Neurospora crassa OR74A: one gene and its partner. The protein of the gene in region 2 binds, or shares a complex with, the protein of the main gene of each other region. Links are inferred from orthologs where the notes say so. Each region holds a gene or a part of one and is shown on either strand. Other genes may lie near its edges. The genes, in order: NCU00564 and NCU09539.

Region 1 (10,967 bases), on a different chromosome or scaffold from region 2:
CCGACCGCGTGTTCATGCCATGCAATCCATCAATCCCCATCGGATCCATCAACTCGCCCGCATGCATAACTTTGGCCATTACATACCCTCCCTGAGACGATTCTCAAAAGCTAGGCGCGGTATTGTTGACAAGATCTTGTAATTACTTGACCTCGCGGGGATCAAGCAGACGGACGGCCCAAGCATTCCAGGGGTATCGTTCGATTCCACATTGCCAAAAGGTGCCATTTTAGGGGGAAACAACCCACCTGTTGCAGTCTGGCGGTTCCCGCGTTGTTGCCGGCACCTTGTTGCCCGGCGGCGCCATGCTGGCCGCTGGGGATATAAGGGTCGTACGGAGCGTCGGACATTGTTTTTGAGGGTGGCTGAATACGCAATAGATCGGTTGCTGTCAATTGAGCTTCAAGCGCGAGCTCTGGAAAAGGAGGATGTGATGGTGTTGAGGGTGTGTCGCGGGTTACGTTGCGGAAAGGGTCGTGATTTCGCTGGACGTTGTAGGGAGGGGAGGTCGGGTTTCCTTGTTGGAATGCAGAAGGTTGGCAATCAGAAAGGGCTGGTGAGGTGGTCTGGAGGTTGCAAGACGTTTGGGTTTGAGGGCGCAGGAACGAGGTCAGAGGACACTGCAGCCGGGCGGCTTGAATTCACCTAAGTGATTGGGTTGCCGCTAGCAGAGAAGAGGGCTAGGGTACGGGAGATACTAATGGTATTCACGCTCAATCTCATGCGCTGTTGTTAAGATCTGAGGTACACAAGCACGAGCCACAATCCCTTTTGTCCCTTCCAAGGAAGCCCCACAACAACCAGGAACCCAGGCACGGCCTGGCTTGACGCCAACAAATGTTTCTCATGCGAACCTCTTGTTTTCAGTCACATACCAGGGGCTTGGCCTAGGTTCGAAGATTTTGCGCTTTGTTCTGCTTCGGTCCTTTTGAGACGCAAAAGGCGATGTGGGTCGGTAGCTATCGCTTTGTGTTTTGTGCTTATGTTTAGAGTCGTCTTGATGGTCATTCTCTTTCAACCCGCTAGGAAGCTTCCACTTCGTTCAGCTTACGGATGGAAATAGGCACTGTACCTAGGTAACTGTGAGAGTGCCCACCAACAAGCACTCAGGGCGTCCCCCCCTCAGCTTCACCCCTCAGTGGCTATGCAGCTTCTGATGACGAACCAGACCAAGTTCAAGGTGCAGTGAGAAATCGGTCATTCGTCCATCTGAAAAGTCGCACGTGAAAACGCACTAGCCAGTAGCCACGGATCCGGTATTTTCCAACATGCACAAGAACGATCTCGAAGACTTAACTTTACCGCCTCAAGGTCTATAGATCTATGTATGTACATATCTACCCGAGAGACAAGTAAAGCTTAAGCTGGCGAGGTGATGACACGGTGAAGAGCCTGTCTTTCCCCTGAGTACTCCTGACTACGACACTTCACCGACTGCGCAGAGCTTACACTTAACCGCATTGGCACGGCATGTTCTCCTGTGTCGGGTCGGTTGTGTTGCAGCTTCGTTTCATCGACCATCTACATTATACATTCTTCACAATACCACTCACTACATATCTCGTACCTGGCCCCTCATACTCAACCGTCGAAGATGCCCGACTCACCGGCAAAAGCATCCACGGTATGCGGATGTTACGGCATCTTTCTCTCTGGTCCCCGGTCCACCTGAAGGGCCTGGAGGGGCTGTTGGAGCGAATGCCGTCAACCAGCAGATGCATATTCGACGGGATTTACATATATGGAAATGCACAAAAAGATATAAGCTCATGTCGTTCCAGGACCCTCGCCACTAACACCCAGTTCCACCTTTGGTGTAGCAAAATGTTGAAACAGATCGGGTAGGATTGTCTGCAAGTCAGTCAGTCGGCTGCTTCCAGACTCCCACGCGCAACAACATGGGGTGAACTGCTGGACTCCAAAAGGGTTCGCAAAATGGAGTCATCGCCGGCAGCACAAGGAATGGGGGTCCCGGTCTTGCCGGTTCAAGAGCTGCCTCTAATGCGCCCCGGCAGCTGGCGGGTATGATCGGCGTTACGTAACCGGACATGGGCGGCGTGGGCCACTAAAATTCATCAAAGGCTCCAAAAGCGCCGGCGCACCGGGGGGCCGAACTTTTTGTCTCCATCCCATGCTCCCCCAACGGTAGTCATCCATATCATCCGCATCCGCCACCCAAGATCCCCCGGCTTGTTTGCAGCAGTTCACGACTGGTAGGGTTCCGGCCAGCTCAACACCAAGACTTATCACACATCATGGCTTCACCGGTCCCGATCCAGCGTCTCCAGGCGCCTTTGCGGAGGTCTCTTGCGCGCGCCGCCGCCCTGTCGACTCGGTCATACGCCACCATCCCCTCTGGCCCATCCAGCCAGCCGACATCGCAAGAGTCATCATCAGCTGCATCCGCATCCGCGCCCGCAACCAAGCCGCGCCCGACCTACTTTAAGGACACCACTCTCGCTTCCCTCGACGACTTTATCGCAAACCAATCGTCAGCCGCTCCTCTCGCACCCAGCGAAGCTTACACCCTGCGCACAGCCGAAGTCGGACCCGCCGGCAAGAAGCGTACCATCACCCGCTTGCCTGAATGGCTCAAGACACCCATCCCAAGTGCTGGCGCGAACCCCGAATTTGCCAAGATCAAGGCCGACCTGCGTGGTCTCAATCTTCACACAGTATGCGAGGAAGCTAGGTGTCCCAATATCGGCGAATGCTGGGGCGGTTCTAACAAGGCCGCCGCGACGGCCACCATCATGCTTATGGGCGACACCTGCACACGTGGCTGCCGCTTCTGCAGCGTCAAGACAAGCCGCAAGCCGCCTCCGCTGGATCCTCACGAGCCCGAGAACACCGCTGAGGCTTTGGCCCGCTGGGGTCTCGGTTATGTTGTGCTGACGAGTGTCGACCGTGACGATCTGGCCGATGGTGGTGCCCGACACTTTGCAGAGACGATTCGCCGGATCAAGCAGAAGAAGCCGACCCTGCTTGTCGAGGCCTTGACCGGTGACTTTGCTGGTGACTTGGACATGGTTAAGATTGTGGCGGAGAGCGGACTGGATGTGTATGCGCATAACGTTGAGACTGTTGAGAACTTGACGCCTTACGTGCGTGATCGCCGTGCCACATTTCGCCAGAGTTTGAAGGTGTTGGAACACGTCAAGAAGGTCCGGGGCAAGGAAGGCATTATCACCAAGACCAGCATCATGCTTGGTCTGGGTGAGACTGAGGAGGAGCTCTGGGAGGCTTTGAGGGGTAAGTCATACCAATTGCGCTTGCCCATTTGATGGATGCTGACCATGATGTTGCTTTGTAGAATTGAGGAAGGTCGACGTCGATGTCGTTACCTTTGGACAGTACATGCGCCCAACCAAGAGACATCTCGCGGTCGAGAAGTACATCACTCCCGACGAGTTTGAGCTCTGGAGGCAGCGTGCGCTTGACATGGGCTTCCTGTACTGCGCTAGTGGTCCTCTGGTCCGTTCTTCATACAAGGCCGGCGAGGCTTTCATCGAGAACGTCTTGAGAAAGCGCTCTGGCGAGAAGGTTGTCTCTGAGGCTCTTGGTCAGGCGGTTGCCGCCGAGGAGGCGACTAGCGTCCAGTCCTCTTGAGGCAGCTTATGCTAGATGTGGTTTGCGGAGCGTGTTTCAACATTTATAATCGGGATCTAGGCTTTCACAGCTATCCTGTGGCGGGCAAAATAACAGACGGATGACGGATCGGTTATTAGGCACCTTGGGGGTTGCATGCGTTTTGGCGTTAGGGGAGATTGGTTCTTTCGATTACTTTGAAAAAGACATTCATTCGTTTGCCGTGTCTGAATATAATATTGTAACAACAATTCTACACAGCGGGCATCGGGAGAGAGATTCCCATGTCCAAAAGGATGCATCATACAAACTCCCTCTGCCCACTGAAAAGCTTTTGAAGCACTCCTCATCATGCGATCACTTACTTATACGGGTATCTCAAAAACCCTGCGTACAGTGATACTTTCTTACCAACACGATGGCCCGAGCCCATCTGGGTTTTGAACAGAGTTTATTCGCCTCTGGGCGTACCGGCACCATCTCCAAACCACAACAAACCTCTGGGTTCCTTGTAGCCATGCTCTCTTTTACCAAGAGGCCTTCTTGACACCCGGAATGTTACCCATCAGGGCGTTCATACGGAAATTGTACTGTTTGCGATCCAACAGTGTTAGCAAGTCGCGCGCCTTTGCAGGTTTCCATCATTCCCATGCGGAGCTCAGCTCTTAGGACACCACTCCTTCTTTGAAGCAATCGATAGCGACATACTCTTGTCATCTTGAAGTCCCTCAAGATACCTCGACTCTTTCCACCAAGGATGCAGCGGTTCCGGATCTGCGTGGGCCTGGTGTAGGCATGCATCTGGGTGAGCTGGAGCTGGGCGACGGCCCTGGTACGGGCAGGGAGGGTGGTGTTGCGAATAACGTAACGCAGGGCTTGTCTGTATCATAAAGCAAGGAGTCGTCAGATCGTTTGTGCTTATTATAGTCGCAAATAAGGATCGCAAGGCGTAGGTAGTTACCTCTCAGGCTCGGCCTCCAAAAAGGCCTTGCGCTTGGAGTGGTCACGAAGGACCCGGACGTTGGTGAAGCACCCGAGGTCGAGCTTCTTGGCACGAAACATGGACATTTTGGCGGTTTGGTGTTCTGGGGCAGATTGGCGGGCTGAGTCGGAGATGGGCGTCGATAGCGGCGGATCGAGGCGCGTAAATCGATGTCACAGGCACTGCAGTCGTTGCTTCCCTCCGGCGTCGTCGCCCGCTAGCCGCAGTCACTCTCCCCGGCTCCCACGGCGGCCAGTGGCCTGTGCGCTTGCCGTCCAGCCCTGCCGCGTGCGGAACGACAAATTCTGCCGGGCGGTGTCATTTTCATCGCAGGTTGCAAGCGCCAAACCAAGCAGCAACAAACACTTTGCCAGGTGTGCCAGTCGCACACCAGCTGGACGGCACTTTTTCTACGGGGCTCCACTCAAACTCTCAAGCTTGCAGCTCGTGCACAGGCCACATCTGGGCCTATTTAAGACTGGCCCCCCCTCCCAAATTTTTACCTGGTTTTTTCTTCTTTTTTTCTTTAGCTCTCTTTGCCTTTTGGCTTAGATCAAGTGTAGTATCTGTTCTTTTCAGTTTAATCTCTGAAACTGCTCTACGGAGTAGAATCGTGATTATTCTAATTTTTGCAACTCGGTCGGCATCCCTCTGGGCTTGCCTATGGTTGCCGACCACTGTGTCCCTGGTATTACACTGCCTCCAGGCGACGCGAACTCAACACTACTACTTGCTTTGTGCTCATCTTCACTTTTTCGTTGCAATCTCTGGCTACAGGCTGGGGGTGTGAGGAAGAAGGATTGTTTTGGATGGGTTGACTGAGTGGTGCCTTTCGAATCATTCTACCTACCAAAGATGTAGTTGTCGTATGCGAAACGAGTGTGTTAAGTTCACCCGTACCTTACCGAATACGTTGTTCACGGGTTGCAAAGGTTGATGCCTGCCGTTCGCATGTGACAACCACATCCACCACCACTTTCGTACGTTCGACGCACCCTTTACCAATGCCTTTGATGATCGCTGGTGTTTAGCAGTATACGTTCTATCAGTCTACGGATGATTGCTCTCGTTTGCAGCAACCTTGAGCCTGCCAAAAGAAACACCTGCATGTTGAAGCGGCTTTCGGTTTGTGTGCGACTGTTTCCTATGAAAATTGTTTGTCAAGCAAGTTATCTCTATGATGGGATGGGGAAGGTCTGGATGAGATGGGCAAGAGACCCTACAGTATGTCAACACCTTGACGGTTGCAATGTCATCGCGGTTTGGCCATTCATCTGAGGAGAGGGAGTCGAGTGTCTCGTTCGTTGTCTGTTTACCTTCTCATGTTCGCTCGTTAGTATCATCCCATTCCGTACTCCGACTTCGCCTATCTCGTTCTGTGCCTGAGAAGGGAAGAACAACTGCTGGGCTCCTTCCGTCCCATCTTCAACCGCTTCCGTGGCCTTCGAGTTTCTTCGCGATCCTCCAAGCAACGAAGTGTTTAAATACTCCTCGACGCGATCAGCGTTCTAGGCTATCCTTCCTCTCGCTTGCAACCGTCTTTTGACTCCTCCACAACAACGCACCCAGGAAACTCGACGACTTTCCAACATACAAGATGTTTCGTCGCCGTTGGTCAGGCCTTCCGGCTGAACCAAAGTTCGCCCCAGATCTCAAGAAGCTCAGGTTCGTGATAATCTGCCTAGTCATCCTTCCCACGACACTCACTCTGATATATCTTGTGCGTATAGTTATTTCATCAACGAGGAAGATGAAGTTCGCTACGTGCATGACCCCGACTTCTACTTCAAGTATTTCTCGACCAAGAACACGAGGTACAACGACTGCCAGCGCTTCGCATTCGACCGTATGTAACAAACTCCCTATTTCTTACAATAGTTTGAGCTGATACTGACCCAAATGTTGCAATCTAACAGAGGCAGTCAACCAAATCATCGACTCACGGCTGGAAGCCGAGGGTCTAAAGGAAGTCCTCCTCCCGCTCGGGGTTGCCAGCAAAGATGAACCTCACGCCAAGATCCGTCTCAGCGAGGATCTCTCTAGCAAGTCACGCGTCGTGATCATCTTCGGCCAGTCTTGCCAGGACTTTGGCATTCTGGCACACCGTGTCGCTAGCGGACAGGGTGGTCTCAACAAGGGCTCGATGGTGAACATAGTCAAGGCTCTCAAGCAGCAGAAGTCTTCCGCCACCGACGACGCTGCCCCTGGTATCATTCTCGCCAACCCCGGTGACCTCTGGTGGTGGCCTGAAGGGAAGAAAGGGCTGAGTGAATTTGCTCGTCATCAGATTCCGGGTAGCAGTCTGGTTCACTGGGGCTGGCACCACGATCCGGCGAGGAACAGCATTTCGGAGAATGCCAATCCGACGGAGCACCTCAAGTATATCTTTGAGAAGGTGGTGCCGCAGTTCGTCAACGATAAGGCCAAGATCGATGTCATCGCGCTTGGTGACATGTCGGACGAGGTGGAGCAGTATCTCGACAATGACGATGTTTGGGCGAAGATCGGACATAGGCTGAACGCTCTTGTTGTGCTGGGTGGCTTTTACGATATGCGTGAGGCAAAATGCCCGGGCTTCAAGAAGTTCATGGATCAGGTATGTTGCGCCTTCTCCTTCTCGCTGGGCCTTTGACCCAGTTTAAATGACCCAGCTAACGAAGCAATTTTCACACAGCGTGGGCGTGCCTACATCATGAATCAAGATCCCCTCGATACCCTTATCGCTGGCCCTGAGGGCGGTAGCCGCGCCGTCACCGGCTACGTCGGCTACGGTTGCCCTACCTACAGTGTCGGCCCGGACGCCTTTGTCATGGAGCTTGTGCTCGTAGAAGCCGGCTCAGCGGTCTTGAAGTGGCTGCAGGATGTCGCCCTGGACAAGGATTACGTTAATGAGAGAGTTCACATCTTCTTCCCTGAGGAAGAGGAGGATGACGGTAAATGGCCAGGATGGGATAAGGACGACAACGATGAGTCTAAGGGGTCCAAGAGAATCGAGGAACAAGACCATGAAGAGACCAAGAGGATCCAAGTCAGAGTCCAGAGAGACGCCCAGCCTCCCAAGATGGATGAATGCGAGGGTATCGACGAGGAGTTCGTCAAGGAAATTGCCAAGAGAGAAAAGATGGCGGATGGCAATGCCGGCTCAGAGGAGGAGACCTAAGACACCTTCTGGAAACCCAAGACTGGTGGTTCCTTGCAGAAAGATCAGTCAAGGGGTCGAGTAAAAATCTTCCTGGCTACAAGGATGAGTAGGACGGGGTTGCTACACCCATTTAGAAGGGGAAACGTGATTGTGGCCCTCTCAAAACATCACCATATTTCTGGCATCAAAGGGCAGTGGCTGAATCAAGATCATCTGCCAATTACTCAGAGATAGGCCAATTTTCAGGAGTTTCGAATCGATAGATAGCCGAACTCACATAGTCTCCTTGCGATGAGTTTGTCCAACAATTGTGAATTTGGGCAAGGAGTGCTGTATCCTGCCTTGCCCTCAAAGTACTAAGCTTCCGTTATACGTACAATGCTTGAAGCAAACTACCGAACATACAATCATACATACTACAACACTAACAAGCGAGTAGCTGCTCTATGCCCATTTGTCCTGTGCTCCTTCTCACTAATGCATTTCAAGATACAGTCCCGGTCACACTCTCTGATCAACGAGCTGGTGGACCGAGTGAGTGGTAGGCTGCTTCGCGGCCGCACCATAATCCATCCATCCATCCCAGCCATCCAGGGATCTAAGCCTGCAAAAATGACAAAAACCCCCTGTTCCCCGTTGCCAACTCCTCCAACAAATCTGCCGCCCTCCTCTGTCTCTCGGCAATAACCTTCTCCTCCGCCGCCCACCTATTCAAATCCTCCTGCTTGTGTTCGCCCTGTCCCCAGAAGCTCCACCAACTCGTTTTGTTTTGCTTGTCGAGGTCCGGATTCCTTTCCAGCTCCTCTTTCTTGGCTTTCTCGTCCCTCGCCAGCCTCGAAACCATCATCGTCCAGTTCTCTAAACCTGCAGCCAGACACTCGCGGCATGTAAGTCTGGCGGCCATGGCAGACTGCTTGTTGCTTAGACCACGGAGTTGTTCTTCGGCGATGTCGACTGCTTCGCGAGTCCAGCCTAGACCTTCTTCGCGGTGGGAATGAGCAGTTGTGGCTGAAGTGTTGTTGTTGCTGTTGTTGGTGGTAGGCTTGGCAGTGTACATGATCTCCCCGATATGCAGACTCAGCGCGGCCTCCTCACATCGTTCCTTGGCATCGCGCAAAGGGGGGAAGGTGCCATCCTCAGGCGGGTCGGGGTAAGGAGGTTCCTTGAGGAGGGCTAGAACGGCGCCGGCCCAGGTTTGTTTCTTTTGTGGAAGGGGTGGGATGCGGCGCGGGTCGGAAGTTGGAAGGGCCTTGCGCGCTTGGAGGATGGAGACGAGCATGGGAAGCGCGGAGGAGACGTCGCCGTTGCGGGCGCGGAAGGTGGCGAGCGCAGTGATGGATTGCAGGAGGTTGGACGAGGGATGGTGGCCGGCGGCGTCGATGAGGGTGTAACTTTTGGTGTCCAGGGGGTAATGGCCGCCGGTGAGGAGAGCTTGCTCGCTGGCGGCGAGGTGGACGGCGTCTTCGAGGATGATGTTGGCGGGTCCCGTGATCTGCTTGAATTCAAGCCAGGTGGCGTAGGCGAGGCCGGCTTCCATGCGCTGTCGGTTGGTGAGACCTTCGGTGCAGAGGATGCGCATGTAGATCTCGTTGGGCGACTCGAAGGTCGGCACGCAATCGTCCTCTTTGGGCGGTCGGTAGTTCTCGTTGGGGAGGGGGCGCGGGTTGGGGTTGGAGGGACCGATCACGTAGTCGTTCGGGATGGTGAGGTTTTGGGTTTTGTCGGTTACCCACTTCTCGACGTTCTCTGCGGCCTTTGCGTACAACATCATGGCTTCGTAGTAGCCCCGTCTCCAGTTCTCCGACATGGAGCTGATGTCCTTGGTGCCTTTTGGCCTGTCGGACGGCGCATCCTTCAGTCCCTTGCCGTCAATGTTGGGATCCTCCAACCGGTCTACCACGCTCTTGATCCAATTTGTCACATGAACCCAGTCGGTTGTGCGGGACGGGTCGGTCTGGTCTCGCTCGCAGAAGGCTCCGCGGAAGAAAATCCGACTCAGCATGCTCCATTCGTGTGGTGATGGATATCGGGCTTCGAGAGTTTCCTGGACAAGGGCGAATGCTATGGCGAAGCAGCAAGCGCCGGCCATCCAGAAGTATGAAGTGATCTTGATTCCCTGCTTGATGTCGTACTTGAGTCGCGCCTTGCGCTCGGTCGTCAGGTAGCGATATTGTTGAGTGGTCACGGGCACATTGAGGAAGCCGAGTTGGGGTCTTGTTTGAACTCCCACGCGAAGTGATGCGCTCTGTGTAAAGAATCGGGTGGTCGTCGAGTGTATCGCCGGGGAGCATGGCCGGGCCAAGTCCCCGCGAGGGAGAAGGAGTCGCGGGCGCATTGCGAGACGAAAGCTCGAGAGCTCAGGAGGAGAGGCGGAGAAGGGGGTTAGGTTCAGAAGTTGCAACCTCAAGGGCAACAATTGAGGTGTCCTACTGTGAGATCTCGTGGTCTGTTCACATCAATGCATCTTGCCTGTATTGGCGTGGTTTGGCGCTGAGATGATGCCGTCAATCGACTTTGCTCAGGCCTTTTGTTTTGTTATTTACTATGTTGTTTCAAGACCAAAATGCAGAGTGACAATTCTTGTCCGTTCCGTCGTTGGTCGTTTCCTGAGCGAGCCTGCGATCCCCGGCCCCTTCAGCTGTTCAGTGGGGCCTCCCCCGCATGGTACACAGGTGCTGGACGAATGATGTCGTCAATCAGGCAGCGCAGCTTCACTTGGAGCTTGGGCCCACCGTGATCTCGGGTTCCACTCTAGTCGGATCGGCTCCATCTTTCCACTTCTTTCTTTCTTTTCGGTCAACTGGCAAGAGGGTGTGGATGGTTCGCTTCATCACAAGACTCGCTGACAATGTGAGCTTCGCGATCTACAACCTTCTTCTCGGACTTATTAGAAAACGCCCACGGGTGCTCATACCGTTACACTAGAAGCCATCTATCCTATCATGTGGGGTCATGCCCAAGAAACAAGGGTGGGCATTCAGCTAGAACCAGAGAGGGAAACAACATCCAACGAAGCCTCCAAGATACCTATCATCAGATTATAGGCTGCCTTGGCAGGGCTTGCTAGGCAGTCTGGCGTCATGGGCTCGCCCTCTCATGTATGGTGAAGTATCACAATTGGGGCGGTATGTATTGTTTTATATCGCCTGTTCACCTGCGTACAGCTAGTATTTTATCACAGTCGTAAAGGCGGGTGTCTCCCGTCGCGGCTTCCTTCGATTGATGGAGTGACTGCTCAATTCCAAGTCACTTCAG
Region 2 (10,991 bases):
AGCCTCATCGCCCTCTAGATCCGGGTAGTGGTGATCCAGGTACGTTAGCAGAGTAGTGACAATGATCGGCACACGCTTCTTATCCGCCCGAGCACGGGCCTCGAGATCTACACCAAATGTTTGCTCATCAACCTTGTTGTAGTAGTTTTCGTAGGTCACAACCTTGGGCACAAAGCTGCCAGTCCGATAGTTCTCCAGCAGGTAACGGAGGTCGCCCAATGGCTGGACCGTCTCCTGGTAAAGCATCATGTTGTCTACAGTAGATTGCAGACTGGGAATGACGTTGCTGATGGTACCAGAAAAGTCCAACACCACGGTCTTGATAGCCTTGAGCCTGTCAAGCTCGCAACGCTCGAGGAACTTGAGGTGCAGAAAGATGGCCTCCTCCAGCTCACACCGCATCTCATCCAGCTTCTGGACGGCAGCCTTGTACTTCTCATCAGCTTCTCTGGCCTCACGGCGCATGCGCTCAGACGGAGTCTCGTTGGGGCGTCCATTGTTGACACCGGGGATGTTCCAGTTGGCAAGGTACTCGCTCACGACACCGACAACTGGCGAGTCGTTCCCTTCGGATCCGTTGGATAGGGGCATCGAGAATGTTCGGCCAACGGGAGCCTTCTTTTCCGGAACACCAGCCAGCTTGAACGCCTGAGGGCGCCATTGGTAGGACATCCTGGAACTGTTGGCGAAAGTGTTTCCGACATTACCGATCAGACGCAGGAAGCCGTGGGTGATGAGATCCTGGCCGATTCTCTCAGCATAACTGATGCTCGTAGTGCCCATATGCCGCTGCAAGTATTCGACAATATCCGTACCAGCCGATGTGTTCTGGTACGTTCCCAGGATCGGGACCTTGGTCTCGCCCATCTTGATGTTGTTGAGCATGTGGGCGAGGATCTTCTTGATCTGGTCAGGCGAATAGGTCTCATCGCCAATCTCGTACGGCTCGTCATCTTCCTCCTCCTCGGGCTCAACCTTGATTTCGGGAATTGGCTGCTTGGGTTTCGGGCTCGCTGCCGATTCGGGGTCTTGGAAGGCCAACTTGTTTTCTTCTTCGAGATCCTCTACCAGGCGGCACTTGTTGAAATAGTTGCTGCGCAGCTTCTTGACGAGTTCGGCTTGTTTGTCGTGGGCCTTGATCTTTGCCTGGAGCTCTTCCTGCGAATTTTGTAGCCGAGATTCGTGGGCGTCGCACCAGCGCGTAAAGGGGTTCACAACTAGATCTCGGATGTTTTGCGCAATTTTCTTGTGGTTCTTGGAGGCGTCTTCCATCTCGGTCCGCACACCCTCATAAGCCTGGCGGGGGAGACAAGTCAGTCAACGCTGTCTCGGCCAAGATGAAGCCTGGTCTGGCTTTGCTGGCATGTGATTCGTACCTTGCGCACACTTGCGCCATCGTCGCGGTTGAAGCCGTTCGGGATCTTGTCAACGGCAGGGGCGATTTCGGATAGACGCTGACCATACACGTCCTCGGCTTCGGCGCGCATGCGAGCGATGGTCAGGAGTTGGCGGTTTTCGACCACGCCTTGCTGGAGCTTGCCAAACAGGACCCCGAGGCCTGAGCACGTGTGCGTCAGCACGGCCGACAACGACAGCGGATCTACTGGCGACAGCCAAACTACTTACCTGCGGCGTAGTCGTTGGACCAGAAGGAGTCCGCGAAGCCCGGCATTGTGGTAAGGAGGGCTATCGCTCGATAGGATGAGTCGGTGGTATGTAGCAGAGACGATGATGTTTGGGATGAATTAACTGTGGGAAAACTTGTGGCAGCAGGGGCAGCGAGAGTTTTTGGTCGGCGCGCGACGCTGGAGTGAGGCTGAGGCAAGCAGGATCCCAGCTGATAATCCTCGCCTAGGTCTGATTGAGGAGAGGCCGGTGAATACGGTATACGATCCGTCAGGGTAGTCCAAGTCGGGGTCCGGGGTGGTTGATCCCGTCAGTGTCGTTTCTCGAAGAGCCAGTTGAACTAGGCGGCGGGAAGGTGGGTAAGTCTGGCGGGTCTGGGATTAAAGGGGGGGCGCAGCGCCGCCGAGTGGCCTGGGGATGGAGACGACGCAGGCACCGTGATAGCAGCGGGGGTCTCTTTCAACGGAGCTCAATGCCGGTCTCCTTGTCGTGGGATCCAACTATCCGGATATGGGACCAAATCACTACCTGGATAGTCGACTAGGTACCTGGGTGATGAGCATGAAGTTGGCGGTGATCGCCGACGGAACTAGGAAGGAACAACAAGAGCAAAATGCAGTGGCCTGCTAAAGTGTCAAAGTAAAAAGAAGTGAAGTTGAAGAAACGCTGGGGGGGGGGCTTCAGGGGAGGGGAAGGAGAAGCACCGGCAGCCAAATTGGAAAGACACAAGGCAAAAGTCCAGTCGTTGTCGATGTCGCAGTCAGAAATAGCAGTCAGTGAGCACAAGGGACGAACGGGCATTCGTGAAACAGGGGCAACACACACTCAAACTTCTTCAAGTACAGCACGCAGATGGGTGCACTTCCTTTACCTACACTAGAAGAGGTGGACGGCAGGATGTGGTGCGCTTGCAGGTAGGTAAGTCTGGTAAGGTAGGTACGGGCAGGCCGAGTGGAAGTGGTGGAGGTGCAGGGACGGTGTCCACCGAGAAGTGTCATGGTGGGTTGGCTGTCATCGGGCAGCCAAGTCTCACTCATTCAGTTCCAAGTTTCATTGGAGGAGGGGCAGCGTCAGAAGGATCCACACGTGAGGTACAAGTACGCCCTAAAATAGGTAACCTCAACCTCCTCGTGTAGGGGTCGAGGGGTCTTGAGACGGGATGGAGCCTATCAAACTCAAGTTCCCGTGTCTGTTTCTTTCTGGAAACGTAGTTTTACACTTCTACACTACTTGAAGGTGAATGGTCTGCGGATTAGTGCTGAACTGAATGACTGAGACTTGGGCTGTGAACCCCACTGTCCCTCCTCGGATGTCCATGCCAAGACCGCTCTCTCGTTGGATGTCCAGACCACAAAGTGTAGCAAAGCATCACCATCGGGCAGCTTCGCCGCCAGCAGAGTTAAGGTCGCCGATGAGATACAACAGAATATGAACATTTGAGTAGTATTGTGCTTCGGGCTCGTCATGTACTTTGATGGGAGATGAAGGAACTGGCACGGCCCAAAGGCTGTGGTCCCGTCAGTTATGGATGCTGCACTTTATACATATACGCCAAGATACCCACTCTACGAACCACTCAGTAGACGTGTAGATCTCAGTTGGAGTAACTGTTCATGACTCCTTTCGACATTACCTATTCGTGCCTTGACTCGGATTCTAGATGTAGTCGCTTGAGACGCACCGGTAGGTCTACACTAAGTATACACGCTTCTTTTGCATCTAACTCAAGAAGTGTATGCATTTCCAGGTCGCATCATCAATGACATGACAACGCCGCGGACTATCAACTAAGATGAAGTAACCCCGCTAAGCTTTAGGCGATTTCTAATCCTTCAACGACAACACCGTAAACACGCTCCCCTGTTTCTACTTACGCATCTCTTTTCCCTTTTCCCTCATTCATCGCTTTTTCGGCCATAACGTTGGTGAAACAGTCGTCCCTGAGAAGATGAAGGAAGAAAAGACCCGCGATGTCGGGGATGATGTTGAGCGTTTATCCGCCCCCAACACGCGCCGTCAACGGCGAGGATTCGGCCGCAAGTTCTGGGCCGCCGTGATCATCTCTCTTTTATTGCTTCACCTTCTCGTCCGACCCGCCAGCTATGGCATGTCGGGTTGCCTGCCCAGCTACCCGAGGGAGAAGAGCATTGAAAAACGCGTGAAGCGTATCCTGTCACACACTCCATTGATCGGTACGACCACAAATCAATAATTATTCACCAAATACTGACATAGAGTATAGATGGACACAATGATTTGCCAATCCTGCTGCGAGCCGCTTTCAAGAACCACATCAATGACAAGAACTTTACCACCGGCTGGGAAGACGGCACGCTCCCCGGTCATGTCGACCTTGCACGCCTGAGAGCTGGTATGAACGGAGGGGCCTTCTGGAGCTTGTTCTGGCCTTGCCCTGCCAACGGCTCCGACTTTTCTGATGAAAACTATCTGCCCGGTGGGTTCAACCTTTCACGCAGCCTTACTGCATAGCACGTCAAGAGAAAAAGAGTCTGACATTATCCCTTTCCAACCACACAGCCGTCCAGGCTACCCTCCAACAGATCGACCTAGTCGACCGCCTCAAAGCCGCCTATCCCAAGGACCTCGGGCCGGCAGTCTCCAGCAAAGCCGCCTACAAGGCCTGGAAGCACCACAACCAGCTCATCTCGCCCATGGGCATCGAGGGCCTGCACCAGATCGGCAACTCGGCCGCCACGCTGCGGCGCTACCACGCCCTGGGCGTCCGCTACGCGACCTTGGTCCACAACTGCGGCAACAAGTACGCCGACGCCGCCCTGCAGGAGAACCCATTCCGCAAGGCCCCGTCCCACTGGGGCGGCGTCAGCCCGGCCGGCGAAGCCCTAGTCAACGAGATGAACCGCATCGGCATGATCGTGGATCTGGCCCACACCAGCGTCGACACGATGAAGGATGTTTTGGGTGGCTCGGGCAAGGACTGGAATGGCAGCAGGGCCCCTGTCATCTTCAGCCACTCGAGCGCCTACGCGCTGTGCCCCCACCCGCGCAACGTGCCGGATGACGTCCTTCGTCTGGTCAAGGAGCGCAACTCGCTGGTTATGGTCAACTTCTCACCCGACTTTATCTCGTGCGTGGCGGCGCCGGACAGGGACGATGGGCTGCCGGATTTTTACCCGGCCAATGCGACTCTGGAGCATGTGGCTGACCATATCATTCATATTGGCGAGCTGATTGGATATGATCATGTCGGTCTGGGTAGTGACTTTGATGGGATTCCAGTCGTCCCGAAGGGACTGGAAGATGTCTCGCGCTACCCGGACTTGGTGGCCGAGCTGCTTCGACGGGGTGTTAGTGATGAGGATGTGAGCAAGGTCGTGGGCGGTAACATACTCCGCGTGTGGAGGGATGTTGAGCTCGTGGCGGCTACGATGCAAGCTGCTGGTGAGTCGGCTCTGGAGGATGATCTGCCTAACTTGATGCCCGAGGAGTAGACATCTGAATGGGCGGCACGTAGAGAAAATTACCGTGTTTCCGCAAAGTTTTGTGGCAGCGTAGATAGCTCCAAGATGAGCCTGCAGATGGCAAGCTGCTTATATAAAGACACAAGATCTGGCTAGCATATAGACTCGGGAATTGGGTATCATAAATGTCTGTCGTGATTCGAGTCAATAAGCAAAAAGTTGCCCGTGTTTTGACTTGATCCGATGAATTGCTCTACAACGCCGCGCCTGATTCCTTTTGCGTCCCAGCGTGTCTTCGTTCTGGCTTGACGTATCGTACACTGATTTTGCCTGCCTGCCTGCTCTAAAAGCTCGACAACACCCAGCCGAGCCACGTCAGGCACATCTCTTTCTTCTCTGTCCATGCGTTCGATCCCATGGTCCGACAGCTATCGAAGCAAATGTCGCGTAGCAGAATTGCTCCAGAAATATCCAGACGTCATGGTATTCTCCAAGGTTCCCGTCACCATTACCGTCATCGACTCGCTCAACCGTGGCGCTCGATCTTGTTGAGCTTCCTGGCGTTGGCGATCTGGTTCCTCGTCTGCTGACCGCGCACGGGCAGACCCATGGCATGGCGACGACCGCGGTAGGTACCCATATCACGGAGGCGCTTGATGTTGTCCAGCACCAGCCTCCTGGCGTCGTTCTCGATTGTCATGGTCGACAGTTCGGCCGTCAGGGCAGTGACGATCTTGGGCGGGAGGGTGCCCATCTTCGCGCGCGGGTGGATCGAATACTTTGCGAGAATGCGGGCAGAGGCCTGCTGGCCTAGGCCGTAGAAGCTCTCGAGAGCTTTCTGTGGTTCGCAAGTGGAAGGTTAACCAGGGTGATTCTTGGAGCGCAGAGGAGGACGAGGACGAGGACGAGGAGGAGAGCGCACCTGGACGAGCTTGTGCTCATTGAAGTTGACTCCCAGGATGAACACCTAGCAATAAAATGTTAGAACTTTTGGACAAATATTCCCGGAAATCGCAGAGGCCGTTGTAGGTACCATCTTGTTAGCCGACGATAAGTCACCTTGTCGCAATGGGCATAACTCGGTTCAGGAATCGCGGAGGAGTCTCGACTCTCAGCTCTCAGCAACCCGCAACCCGCGATTTGGAACCGGGCGTGCAGACTTGCCGGGCAGGCGGCGGATCGTGGGGGAGCCCGCATTGGCCGGTGCAAATCCGCAGCGGAGCATTTGGGGTGCGGGACAGCTGGCATCCCATGCTCCGCCAGCTGTCGCCATAAAGGTTATACACATGCGATTGTACCTCATGCATACACTTTACCGTATGAGTCTTGCGAAAAGAAAGCCAAAATTTCATGGCGATGTGCCAAAAATGCAGATGAACAACCACTCACCATACACATCATGACGATCGACTTTACTGCGAGGCCAGAAAAGCCTCTTCCATACTCGGATGATTTTTCATCTGCAGACCAATATGTCGACAGTCTGCTGGACTTTGCGACCAATTCCCACCTTTTCCAGTTTCTCTGTGGTGGTGTCCACATTCTTGACTTCTTCACCAGCGAGCCCGGCCTATTTGTCTCTGCCGTTCCCAAGGAATGGCAGGAGTACCTGGTGCAGACCGAGCCCATGGTCCTTTTGGATTTCTTGATGAGAGATGATCTTGACACACTTGCCGCGCAAACTGGCCCGGGACAGCCTCCCGAGACGCTGGTTCAATATGTCAAGGATATCAGGAAACTTTCTTTACGACGCTCCTTCCAGCCCAGCAAGCCAAAACTACCGGTGCTTCCTCGGCAGGTAGCTTTGGGAATGAACACCAAGAAAGTTCACGAAGTCACTCACTTTTCCGGATACATCGACAGGCTCTCGGAGGACGTCGCTCGGGTGAGGGGACAGGAACTGACGCACTTGGTAGACTTTGGCAGTGGCCAGAATTATCTAGGCCGCGCTCTGGCGAGTCCTCCGTACAACAAGCATATTGTTGCCGTGGAGAGCAAGGAGGCCAACACAGCAGGCGCTAAGGATCTCGATATCTTGTCCGGTCTAGCTGAGCGGGAGAAGAGAATCCGCAACAAGAAGCTCTACCACCGCATTATGGAAAGTGTAGATCCGTCAGAAGCCAACGATGAAGAGGCACTGAAGCGCGCCGCAAAGGCACTGGGTGTGACAGACGAAGATATTGCTACCATTGATCTCCGATCGAGAAAGGAGCTTCAGGCCACTTATGCGCGGGAGGAAGGAAAGGGCAGCATTGAGTACGTCGTTGCCAAGTTGGGAGATGCCGACTTGGCCCCTGTGATCTCCCAGCTGGAGTACACGGAAACTCACAGCGAGGATGATCTCAGCATGATGGCTGTGTCCATCCACTCATGTGGCAACCTCTCTCACTACGGCATCCGGTCCATGGTCCTCAACTCGTCTATCCACGCCGTTGCAATCGTGGGTTGCTGCTACAACCTTCTCACCGAAAAACTGGGTCCTCCGACTTTCAAGCCTTGCTTCAGTCGGCCAACCCTTCAGCCATTGAATGCTCGTGTTGTTAGGGAGTCCGAGAGACGAGATCCCCAGGGTTTCCCCATGAGTGAGAAACTCTCCACCTACAATGACCAAGGCATCCGACTCAACATTACAGCGCGTATGATGGCGTGCCAAGCACCCGGGAACTGGACCGACAAGGAGAGCGATGCCTTCTTCACCCGCCACTTTTACCGCGCCGTCTTGCAAAGGATATTCCTCGACAAGGGGGTCATTTCCAAGGTCTACCACGGGCCAAGCGAGGGCGAGGGCGAGGGCGAGGATGGCAACGAGAGCCCGTTCAACTTCAGCACCAACCCCGTCGTGATCGGCTCACTCAGGAAGCAATGCTACACCTCGTTCAGCGCCTACGTCCGCGGAGCGATCACGAAGCTAACGACCAACTCGGACTTTAGCCAGTACAGCCAGATTGTACGCGAGAAGCTAAGTGACATCACCGACGAGGAGATTGCCAAGTACGAGGCCGCGTACCTGCCCCGAAAGCGGGAGCTCAGCGCAGTCTGGAGCCTGATGGCCTTTAGCGCGTGCGTTGTTGAGTCCCTTATCGTGACTGACCGGTACCTGTTCCTCAAGGAACATTCCGATATTGTTCGCGACTGCTGGGTGGAGACAGTATTTGACTATGGCCAGAGCCCTCGAAATCTCGTCGTTGTGGGTATCAAGAAATAAGAAGACGTGTAGGAAAATAAAACGATGTCGGATGAGTTGTCTCCTCTTCCCCAGCCACCTTTGTCTTTCACGCATACCTACCTATACAGCAATCTCTCGGATATTGTACCCCTGGGGTTGTGCGGGATGTTGTAAGACATTTGACTTGTTGACCTGATATATCTATTTTTGTGTCCGTCCAGGTTATACCCTATGTCTACCTATCCCGGGGGTTTTATTCCGCAAATGGAGAGAGTTGCAGGACTGTCGTTCCGAATTTCTGCACGCCTTCGGTTCGGCTAATGGTCGCATCCTTCTTCGATGGGGAACTGCCATTCAGCATGTCGCAATAGGTTGAAGCGATCTGTCCCACGCTGCAGCAGCATTACCCCTAGATCGGAGAGCTCTTAGCCTTCTTGCAGTTTGCCGTTGCATGTTGAGCCGAATAAGAAGACTCGACATTCCGATGATCATCAAGCATGGTCTTTGGTATGCCGGATCCCCTAGTCACTTGCATGGTGTTTGATAATTTGCTTCCGGACAGACGCTGTCACCAGACAAAGTGAAAGCCAGAACTCGGTCCGATGATCGGTGTCTAAACCTTCTCTTCCAGGTGGCACAAGCTCGGGTACCGCGACCTGTCAAGCAGAAGCAGATCAAACCGGAACATACAATTGAACCTTTTTGACCAATCATGCGGGAACGAACAAAGCTTTGAAACAGAGGCGTTCTTTTCTGCGTTATCTCTTGTCTCTTGTTGTACAAAGGCAAGTTCAAGTTCTCGGTGTGGCTTCTGACGTGCCGCGTTTTCTCGACATGACCGGTGTGTAACTGGAAGGGATACTATCAGGTGAAGGCTGGCGAAGGCTCGAGAAGTTGGCTGTTTCCGAAGATGGTCGACATGTGCTTCCTCCTGGCTATAGTGATCCAATCCAGGCTGACTACTAGAAAGGAATAGAGGGGAAAGAAGGAGAGGGGGGGTTCACTTCTCGGGATTTGATCTGTCTTTTTTTGCGCCACTCCACAAGAGAGGCTTCCCCCACACTTTCTGCTGCCCAAAGAGAAGAACCAATAACTCTTTTGCGAGAGTTAATTGTTGTTGCGGTGGCGCCAGGTCACCAGCAATGAGGTGAAACTGAAAGGCTGTGAAAGAACCCATGGCTGACAGGCAGGCAACCTCGAGGGCGCAAGCAGAGGTGAGGTACCTGCGTTTCGTCCTTTGACTTTGCTTTACATGTATAGTACACTACATTGCTTAGTGCCGGCATTGTAGGTACATTGGGAGGTATGCGTTGTAACCCATCTGTCTTACTGGCGTTTGCCCAGAGTGGTGGAGCTGGAGATGCAAAACAGAAAGAAGTAGACACCTCTCCTAACGACATCTTCCACTCATGATGTGCTTGGCAATGATTCGAATCGGAGTGATCTTGAATCTTAGTGCAGTCCGGCAAAGACCGCAATCTGTACGCTGGAATCAACATCCATCATCAAGAAGGCAAAGTGAGACAGAGATGATGGGAATCGGTTGCAGTATTTCGAGAACGCTAGATGCACCCGAGGTGCTTGACATGACAAGCGCCCGCGGTTACCTGCAGGTGCGCGAGCATGGAGGTGGATAACTTGAAGTGATGTGCCGAAGACACCTGCCCCCCCTGGTTCTGATACACTAGAAAGACATTGTTCACCGGGTTTCCTCCACTCCTTTTTTTTCTTCTGACATTTTCTTTTTATGTTTTGTCGAGTTCTATCACACATACGTAGCTACCTATGCAAGGCGCCTGACCGACCGATAGATACCCCCACAGGCGATCTCATGTGATAGAAAGCTCTCGGACCCTTACTGGGTCTGGTTCGATACCTATAACGGAAGCGTGTCCGGACTGTTGTTCTTCACATCGCCTACCCCACCACCTGCACTGGACCTAAGGTTCTACTCCATGCGTACACTAACATAGAGGTACACTACACCTATCGTCAACCCCTGGGTATGCAGCCTGGTGATCTATCCAAATATTTGAATCGAGGACTTGCATCGATCGCCATAGCACTAAATACTGCATCGCATGCAGGCATCAGTACTATATGCCGGCGGACTTCGTCTTTAGGTTCTACCACCGTGGGGTTCGAAAGAGGTTCTCCAACACGATGGCCAGGGCCCCGGCTTAGGTTATAGCACAATCACGGGCAGGTAAGGTACCTCTACCTTATCAGTTCTTCTCCCGGACCCAGACGCTTCCCCCCGATCTCGGGTCGGGTCCCCTTCATCCTCTGTCCCGCCAAGCTTTACAATGTCACAAAGAGAGCAAGTAGATACTGTACTCAGCAGATGGAGAACTGAAGAAGGAAGTGTGAACTGGAGAAGCGCTCACTCCTCTTACATTCATCACTTTGACGAACGAACTTCCACTTGTTTTCGATATCCCCATGTCTTTTTTCCCTCTTTTGTTTTTCTGAACCTTCGCTTATCCATCCCAAATTTCTTTAATAGCTCCATGTATCCTGGCCCTTCTGGTCCTTGCTCTCTTCGTTGACTCATCCATCCTTTCCACTTCCACAATCTCCTATCTTGTATACTTTGACGATACTCCCCCACCTACCCATAGAGTTCCCTTTCCATCTCGCGTCCTCGGTGACTGGACTCGCGTCTCTATCAGTCCGACCGAGCCTACTTTGTTTCACATAGCTACTTGCTGATCCACCTATCTATCTCCTATCTTTCAGATCGACAACCCAAGAACTGA

Evidence for each region.
Region 1: NCU09539 (region 2) and NCU00564 share a complex: the UniProt entries of both Schizosaccharomyces pombe proteins name them as parts of the mitochondrial small ribosomal subunit. The link is inferred for Neurospora crassa OR74A from reciprocal best matches to the Schizosaccharomyces pombe genes sws2 and mrp2.

The regions. Positions count from the first base shown.
Region 1 is NC_026501.1:7,983,330-7,994,296, forward strand, and holds NCU00564 (mitochondrial 37S ribosomal protein MRP2), read right to left. Parts: upstream 4,862-10,967; 5' UTR 4,657-4,861; coding exon 4,550-4,656; intron 4,469-4,549; coding exon 4,297-4,468; intron 4,179-4,296; coding exon 4,116-4,178; 3' UTR 3,760-4,115; downstream 1-3,759. Other genes in the region: NCU00566 (synaptobrevin), read right to left, coding at 249-350; NCU00565 (lipoic acid synthetase), read left to right, coding at 2,256-3,252, 3,314-3,609; NCU00563 (hypothetical protein), read left to right, coding at 6,168-6,235, 6,301-6,416, 6,487-7,166, 7,245-7,730; NCU00562 (hypothetical protein), read right to left, coding at 8,311-10,047. UniProt on the Schizosaccharomyces pombe protein: Component of the mitochondrial ribosome (mitoribosome), a dedicated translation machinery responsible for the synthesis of mitochondrial genome-encoded proteins, including at least some of the essential transmembrane subunits of the mitochondrial respiratory chain.
Region 2 is NC_026505.1:4,521,486-4,532,476, forward strand, and holds NCU09539 (putative mitochondrial 37S ribosomal protein SWS2), read right to left. Parts: upstream 6,262-10,991; 5' UTR 6,103-6,261; coding exon 6,100-6,102; intron 6,034-6,099; coding exon 5,989-6,033; intron 5,905-5,988; coding exon 5,593-5,904; 3' UTR 5,129-5,592; downstream 1-5,128. Other genes in the region: NCU09537 (rho-GTPase-activating protein 8), read right to left, coding at 1-1,296, 1,377-1,558, 1,627-1,672; NCU09538 (microsomal dipeptidase), read left to right, coding at 3,575-3,818, 3,869-4,081, 4,165-5,096; NCU09540 (hypothetical protein), read left to right, coding at 6,466-8,271. UniProt on the Schizosaccharomyces pombe protein: Component of the mitochondrial ribosome (mitoribosome), a dedicated translation machinery responsible for the synthesis of mitochondrial genome-encoded proteins, including at least some of the essential transmembrane subunits of the mitochondrial respiratory chain.